Linked DNA regions of Drosophila melanogaster. The protein of the gene in region 1 interacts with the protein of each later gene in a pairwise test. Each region holds a gene or a part of one and is shown on either strand. Other genes may lie near its edges. The genes, in order: RpS2 and Zfrp8.

The links.
Region 2: the proteins of RpS2 (region 1) and Zfrp8 interact in a two-hybrid assay, tested with the Drosophila melanogaster proteins (2 studies listed by BioGRID).

What each region holds. Positions count from the first base shown.
Region 1 is NT_033779.5:9,895,671-9,899,607, reverse strand, and holds RpS2 (ribosomal protein S2), read left to right. Parts: upstream 1-2,055; 5' UTR 2,056-2,135; exon of another isoform or gene 2,136-2,396; intron 2,397-2,476; 5' UTR 2,477-2,477; coding exon 2,478-3,281; 3' UTR 3,282-3,343; downstream 3,344-3,937. Other genes in the region: Muc30E (mucin 30E), read left to right, coding at 1-1,655; Bka (bekka), read right to left, coding at 3,568-3,937. UniProt on the Drosophila melanogaster protein: Component of the ribosome, a large ribonucleoprotein complex responsible for the synthesis of proteins in the cell.
Region 2 is NT_033778.4:24,132,309-24,136,140, reverse strand, and holds Zfrp8 (zinc finger protein RP-8), read right to left. Parts: upstream 2,153-3,832; 5' UTR 2,126-2,152; coding exon 1,857-2,125; intron 1,800-1,856; coding exon 1,715-1,799; intron 1,661-1,714; coding exon 971-1,660; 3' UTR 915-970; coding exon of another isoform or gene 774-914; 3' UTR 736-773; downstream 1-735. Other genes in the region: Naa35 (N(alpha)-acetyltransferase 35), read left to right, coding at 1-711, 774-914.

The DNA.
Region 1 (3,937 bases):
CAACCACCAAGAAGACAACAACTAAGAAGACGACTCATGAACCCACAACTAAGAAATCAACTACTTTAAAGCCTACCGAAGAACCAACTACTCGCAAAACGTCAACCACAAAGACTACTAGAGAGCCAACTACAAAGAGGGTAACAACTGAAAGGACAACTCGGGAGCCAACCACTCGTAAGACAACAACCCATAAGACAACAGAAGAACCAACCACCAAGAAGACAACAACTAAGAAGACGACTCATGAACCCACAACTAAGAAATCAACTACTTTAAAGCCTACCGAAGAACCAACTACTCGCAAAACGTTAACCACAAAGACTACTAGAGAGCCAACAACCAAGAGGGTAACAACTGAAAGGACAACTCGGGAGCCAACCACTCGTAAGACAACAACCCATAAGACAACAGAAGAACCAACCACCAAGAAGACAACAACTAAGAAGACGACTCATGAACCCACAACTAAGAAATCAACTACTTTAAAGCCTACCGAAGAACCAACTACTCGCAAAACGTCAACCACAAAGACTACTAGAGAGCCAACTACAAAGAGGGTAACAACTGAAAGGACAACTCGGGAGCCAACCACTCGCAAGACAACAACCCATAAGACAACAGAAGAACCAACCACCAAGAAGACAACAACTAAGAAGACGACTCATGAACCCACAACTAAGAAATCAACTACTTTAAAGCCTACCGAAGAACCAACTACTCGCAAAACGTCAACCACAAAGACTACTAGAGAGCCAACTACCAAGAGGGTAACAACTGAAAGGACAACTCGGGAGCCAACCACTCGTAAGACAACAACCCATAAGACAACAGAAGAACCAACCACCAAGAAGACAACAACTAAGAAGACGACTCATGAACCCACAACTAAGAAATCAACTACTTTAAAGCCTACCGAAGAACCAACTACTCGCAAAACGTCAACCACAAAGGCTACTAGAGAGCCAACTACAAAGAGGGTAACAACTGAAAGGACAACTCGGGAGCCAACCACTCGTAAGACAACAGCCCATAAGACAACAGAAGAACCAACCACCAAGAAGACAACAACTAAGAAGACGACTCATGAACCCACAACTAAGAAATCAACTACTTTAAAGCCTACCGAAGAACCAACTACTCGCAAGACATCTACCACAAAGACAACCAGAGAGCCAACCACTCGGGAGACAAGCACATCGGTTAAGACAACAGCAGATCAAACAACAAAAAGGACGACAGCTGAAATGAGTACAACAAATCAGGAACCAACATCCGTAGAAACTACTACCAATTCATCGAATCAGAGCAATACGACCACGGAATCAACCACCACCGAAGAGCAACATGTTCACCACCATCATCACCATATTCATTATCACAAACCCGCTGATCTCGGTCCATCAATTCTTCCACTTCCTGATCTTCCTCCTCTCCCGTTGCCCCTGCCCTGGCCCCCACTGCCACTTCCTGAAATCCCTCTACCTTTGCCTCCTTTACCAACAGCGTTGCCTCCGCTGCCCCCCCTACCACCTTTGCCACCTTTGCCGGAAGTAAATTTAACAGCAATATCCTTACCAGAAATTTCCCTTCCAAATTTGCCACCACTACCACAATTGCCGAATCCTTTCCCAAACTTCTTTTGGGGTCGTTAAACACTAAAACCATTAAAATTGTATGAACTTACATATTATAAATGTGCCATTAAATATATATTTATATAATATACAATTATAAATAATTTATAAATTTAATTATTATATTTTTCAACTTATCTTTAAGAAGAGCAAAATGGATCTTCGTCTTCAAAAACAAGACCAAAAATTGGGCTTAAAAAGAAAATCGCTTTAATGTAAAAAGCCCTGAACACATATATCTAATTCATTTCGTCAAACTCTTAAAACTATTAAAAAAAAAAACATGTTTAAATTCTGAAATTTTTACACAGTATTTTGTAAGTAACTTGACATAATTTGAAATTCATCATTTAAATATTTGTATATATATCGATTTCCCATACGATATTATGCTTATCGATGGTATCGGCACTATCGTAAGTGATTGCCCCAGCTCTAAGCGGATGGCTCGGCCATTTCGTTTTTGTCTTCACCCCAATAAAGTTGATAGACCTACAAGTAAGCATTTTCGGTTGGATTATGTGGGAAATAAATGGTGTTTAATTTAATCAGCATGCGCCATACCACAGTCAGAGTTTTGATATATGCTAAAAGCTAGCTAAAAGTGTAAAAATCCAAGTGATGGGTTGTATCTTTCGTAAAAATCAATTGTCCCTTTGGGGGACACCACGTGTTCCAAAATGGCGACTATATGTAGTAGGGTTAACACCTTTACTTTATTTTGCGGTAGTCACTATGAGACTTGCGGCTAAAGATTAGGTATCTGGCTTGGGAGCAGAAAATCTTAGGATTTACAATAAAAAACGTGAACCTAACCTATTTTTTTAACTCTCTTTCAGAATGGCGGACGAAGCTCCAGCCCGTAGTGGATTCCGTGGCGGATTTGGCTCTCGTGGTGGTCGTGGTGGACGCGGTCGTGGCCGTGGACGCTGGGCCCGTGGACGTGGAAAGGAGGACTCCAAGGAGTGGGTGCCAGTGACCAAGCTGGGACGCCTGGTGCGCGAGGGCAAGATCAAGTCTTTGGAGGAGATCTACCTGTACTCGCTTCCCATCAAAGAGTTCGAGATCATCGACTTCTTCCTGGGATCCTCGCTGAAGGATGAGGTGCTGAAGATCATGCCCGTCCAGAAGCAGACCCGTGCTGGTCAGCGTACCCGTTTCAAGGCCTTCGTTGCCATCGGCGACAACAATGGCCACATTGGTCTGGGCGTTAAGTGCAGCAAGGAAGTGGCCACCGCCATCCGTGGTGCCATCATTCTGGCCAAGCTCTCCGTGGTGCCCGTGCGCCGTGGCTACTGGGGCAACAAGATCGGCAAGCCCCACACCGTGCCCTGCAAGGTCACCGGCAAGTGCGGTTCCGTCTCCGTGCGCCTCATCCCCGCTCCCCGTGGTACTGGCATTGTCTCGGCCCCCGTGCCCAAGAAGCTGCTGACCATGGCCGGTATTGAGGATTGCTACACCTCGGCCCGTGGCTCCACTGGAACCCTCGGCAACTTCGCCAAGGCTACATATGCCGCCATCGCCAAGACGTACGCGTACTTGACCCCCGATCTGTGGAAGGAGATGCCTCTGGGCTCCACTCCTTACCAGGCATACTCGGACTTCCTGTCCAAGCCCACTCCTCGTCTGCACGCCGATGCCTAAGTGAACACTTTCGAGGCCAATCAATCCAGAGTTTTTGAATAAAGTCATAAACTTTTAAATGTAATCGCTTCGTGTTTGTTATTGTTGTGGACATTGGTCGATTTGGAGATTCTGTTGTAGTTAAACTATTTGTAACTTAATAGAACTTATGTCTCCTTTGTTGATCCAGACAATGCAGTAAAAGCATTCTACTAAAAAACAACAGGAAATACGAAACGCATTGCTTGCTGCTTACATGTAAGAATATATTTAAAAATGTACACTTAGGATAAGAAGTAAAAAAGGTCTACGCCTTGACTCCATACGCTTCTGGCATACGCTCAATCGCGTACTTATGCGCAGCCACGTACATGATGGGCACGCCGGGAATCTTCCGGATGCGATTCTTAAGGTCCTTGTCGTTGGTGGCCACAATGTAGCATTTGTGCTGGCGCACCCGCTCCACGAGGCAATCGTCCGCATAGGTGCCCTTGTGCAGGCACGGCAGTCGCTCGAATCTGGGATCGGAGATGATGCGCAGGGCCAGCTTGTACTTGTTGCCCAGCTTCTCCAGCTCGGCACGCACGCAGTCGGAGATATAGGGTATGCACTTGGCATACAGACAGTCCATCATACCTTGCACAATATCCAGTTTGTTCTTAATGCTAAAGTTAATG
Region 2 (3,832 bases), on another chromosome or scaffold:
ACCATCCAAGTGGATGCAGCGCGATTGGACTCTATGATGAACCAACTGGCCAACGAACGAGCCATGGAGGGCAACGAGCCCATGGCCACCGCTCTGAAGCACAGCACCCACTTCTCCACATGGGTGCTGTACAACTGTTTCCGTGCGATGCTGATCTTCCTGATGTCCGGCTTTGAGCTGGAACTATATGCTGTGCATGAGTTCCTCTACATCTACTGGTATCCATACGAGTTCCTCATTGGCTTCCTGGTCTCCGCGCTGACGCGCACGGAGAACATCCTCCTGGCCCAGGAGGAGTACGCCGAGCACCAAAGTAAGACCCAGTCGGGCGGCAGCGGAGCGGCTAAAAACCGCAAGGCGGCCAAGCCGAAAAAGAACAAAAAGACTCAAAGGCCGTACCGCGCCGAGATCGTCTTCTACCACGCGCTACTCAGCCTCTGCGGCGGAATGTATAAAGCAATGGGCGCCCTGACCAAAGACGGACGCGTGCGACTGCCGCTGTCCAAGTTCGACAACGAGGAGATCCGCTACAACCGACGCTTCCTGCCCTTCGCCACACTCACCAGTCCTCCGCCAGTTTCGTACGCAGAGTTCAAAAACGTCCGGGAGCACATGATGCGACATAGCGTCGAGGATCTATATACCTATGCGGCCAAGCACTTTGACCAGGCCCGCAATGTTCTCGAAAGCATTCAAAACCCAGATCAGGAGGTAAGTCAATGGTAGTTCTGAATTGGTTTTCCTGGATTAAAATGCGTTTCGTTTAATTTCAGATGCTGGACCTCCTGCAAATCGCACGGACTAACTTTGTGGTGATGAATGTGCTGGCTCGCGGTCACCAGAAGGAAGTCAAGCGGCAGCCAGAGTTCGACTTCTCCAAACACAGCTACTTCCCCATCATCAAGCTGAAGTAAATGTTCACGTGTTTCGTAATTGACAAGAATAAAATTTAAATGTACGCATTTTAATGTCAACTCTGATCCTCCGCCACAATGTCCTGCTTGATGAGAAGCTCCTCCACGTAGCCGTCGATGGGGCAGCTTTTGGCGCAAGTGTAGACGGCCAGGACGCCCCAGTCGAGGTTTTCGTCCTCCAGAAGAGTCAGCGCTTGCGGCATAATCTGAAATTCGAACTGACGCTCTCCTCCGCAAGCAATGCAATTGGGCAGCTTGTTAAGTTGGTCCTCCACCGTTTTGACGGTATTCGTGATCCAGAGGGGCTGGCCTCCACGTTTGTAGCGCACGATCTGATCGGGTTCGGCTGCTGTTTGCTTTTTGAACTGACGAAAGGTCTTGTCATCGGCGGCCGCCGAGTTTCCGAAGTACTTGTCCATCTCCGCCTCGGAAACATTGCTCAAGTCGCCCGTCTTCCCGCTGGACTCCAGCTCCTGGAACTCCGCCAAGCGAGCCTCATCGTCCTTGTCCTCCTCGCCAGACTCCACGGGGTTGCTGTCCATTACAATCTCAAATTCTGGGAAAACGATTTGTGTTAAGGGCTTCTCAGTGGCTACTTCTGGTGCTCCGCAGTTTGGCTTGTGTTGTGGCCAGTGGGCCCTTTGATGCTCTGGTGAGCAGTAGTGGATTGCCTTGCATTTGCTGCAGGCGTGAGGAGCATGGCAACCGCAGGCGGCGCATAGTTTCTTTAGGCAGGGAACGGCGGGCTAAGAAAACATATTATGATGAGTATGTTCTGAAAATATGGCTGCTGTTCCTACCAGGGGTTGACCCACGTCGCTCGGCTCCTCCTCCGAAAAGAACTTATTTTTTCGCGGCAACTGTGACCTGAGGACTGTGAAATTGCTGGAAAGATGGGTAAGATTAGGTTGCAAGTTGGTTTTCAGAGCTAGAAGGGATTACCTTGCATTTTGGGCCTCCTGGCAGTCGGAATTCCGGCACAGGAACACATAGATGGACCGATGAAAGTTGTACTCGTCTTCGAAGGGAGCGTATAGCTGAGCCAGGAAGGATTTGGGTGCCCTGCACTTGCTGCACTGCAGCTGCGACGTGGGCGGCAAGGCCTCCAGTTCCAGCCATGCGGGCTGGCCTCCCAGCTTGCTGGGAAAGTAGCGGTTGCTCAGCCAGGCGCCATTGTCGCTCTTTTCCGCAAATCCCAAGTCAATCTCCATTTCTTTCAATCTCCGAAACGAAACTCGTGTTCAGTGTGACCGCAGCGGGAGCGCCAGAAAATACCTCTACAAATTCCGAAATAACGTTGTATAATAACTGATATTTTCGGGGAATCACACTTTTTGGGTGTTATAATTTAAAATTTAAATTAATTACATTCGTTTAATTTGTTGATTTCGGCAGTTCAATAAAATAAAATATTCTTTTCTTCATTGAATATTTGCGATTACTCTTATAAACATAAGGGGGAAACATAAGATTTTAATTTAATGACATTAATCTGGAAGAATAACAAATCTCATTATCCTGAGCCCTTAAAAATGGCAAGCGGTTCAAAATTATAGAGCGAGGATTAATCAGATAAGGCCCCTCTTCTACGCCACTGATAATAAAGCTTGCATGCCATGGATTTGGTATTTTCCGCGAGTTCCTCCATGGCGATTTCCCAGATTTTGGCCACTTCAGTATGCGGTTATTTCTCACGGTTAAAAGTTCTGCTCTCCGAGTTGATTAAACTGGCTAAAGTGATATTTTATTTACTGTTGTGATAAACGCGTGTGAAAAACAAAGACTTTCCATTGCCCGCGGACACAAACGATCACGAACCGAAGAGTGAACCGCTCAGAAACGGGGGGAAAACCAGTTTTCCCACGATTTGATGTGATTGTGAAAGCGCAACGAGATTTGTCAACGCAAACAAGCAAGAAGAAGAGCCCGTGGATAGCGTAATATTTGTTAATAATAACGGCTGCAAAAACAACAACATTGCGGAAGCAGAATCTCCGACTTGTCGCGTTTCCGTCGCAGCAGCGCTAAAAATAAACCCACCCACGCACCGCCCCCTCTCGAATCGCCAACCACCCACTCCCGCCCACCATCCACCTACCACCACCTTCCGCCCACACCCACGCACGAATTTGGAGAGGTGAACTTGTGTTGACTTTTCCAGCGCGCGGACTTTTCCGAAGAAAAATGCAAAAATGAGAGCCGAGCCACCAGCGGACCACTGGGAATTTGCGTAAGTCCAAGGCGGATGCTTCCTGGTTTCGAATTACAGGGTATCACGTGCGCTGCTGCGAGCTAGTGAACAAGAAGGCACCAGATGTTTGATGGAGTGCACATAGAGAAAAGTTTGTGTAGGAACTATTAGGTGTCCGGTACAGGGTATCTCCGCTTCGATGCCCCTGGCAGTGGCTCGCTTTCTGGCTGCCAAAGAACGAGCCGGGTGAGCTTTTATTTGCTAAATTTAGTGCCGCATTGCTGAAAATAAGAATGGGAGCACCCTGCCATCGGTTGCCGGTAGGCAGACTCATATATATGTATATGTATATGCATAATCGCCCCTGACGGCCAGTGTGTGGTTCGGTGGATCTTTGTCCAGGGCACATGGCCCGAAACTGTTGCATGGCCCATCCTCGTCCTGGCCAATCGATGCCTTCGATGCCGACTTCGACTTGGAGTGCTGCCTGAATCAATAAACGCCTCAAATCCCTGCCATATTGCGTCCATTGTAATGTCAGCACATAAATTCTCTGCCCATCGAGGGGCATTTTCACTCGGCTGCAGGCATTCGGTAGTGGTATGTACGCTATGTGTCCTGGCCAGGCAATAAATATTGAAAATTCAATTAGCAGACGGACGGGCAGCCGAAATGCTATGAATTTATCACCACCTGAGTGCGAATGTGCCTGTGGTACTCATAGTAA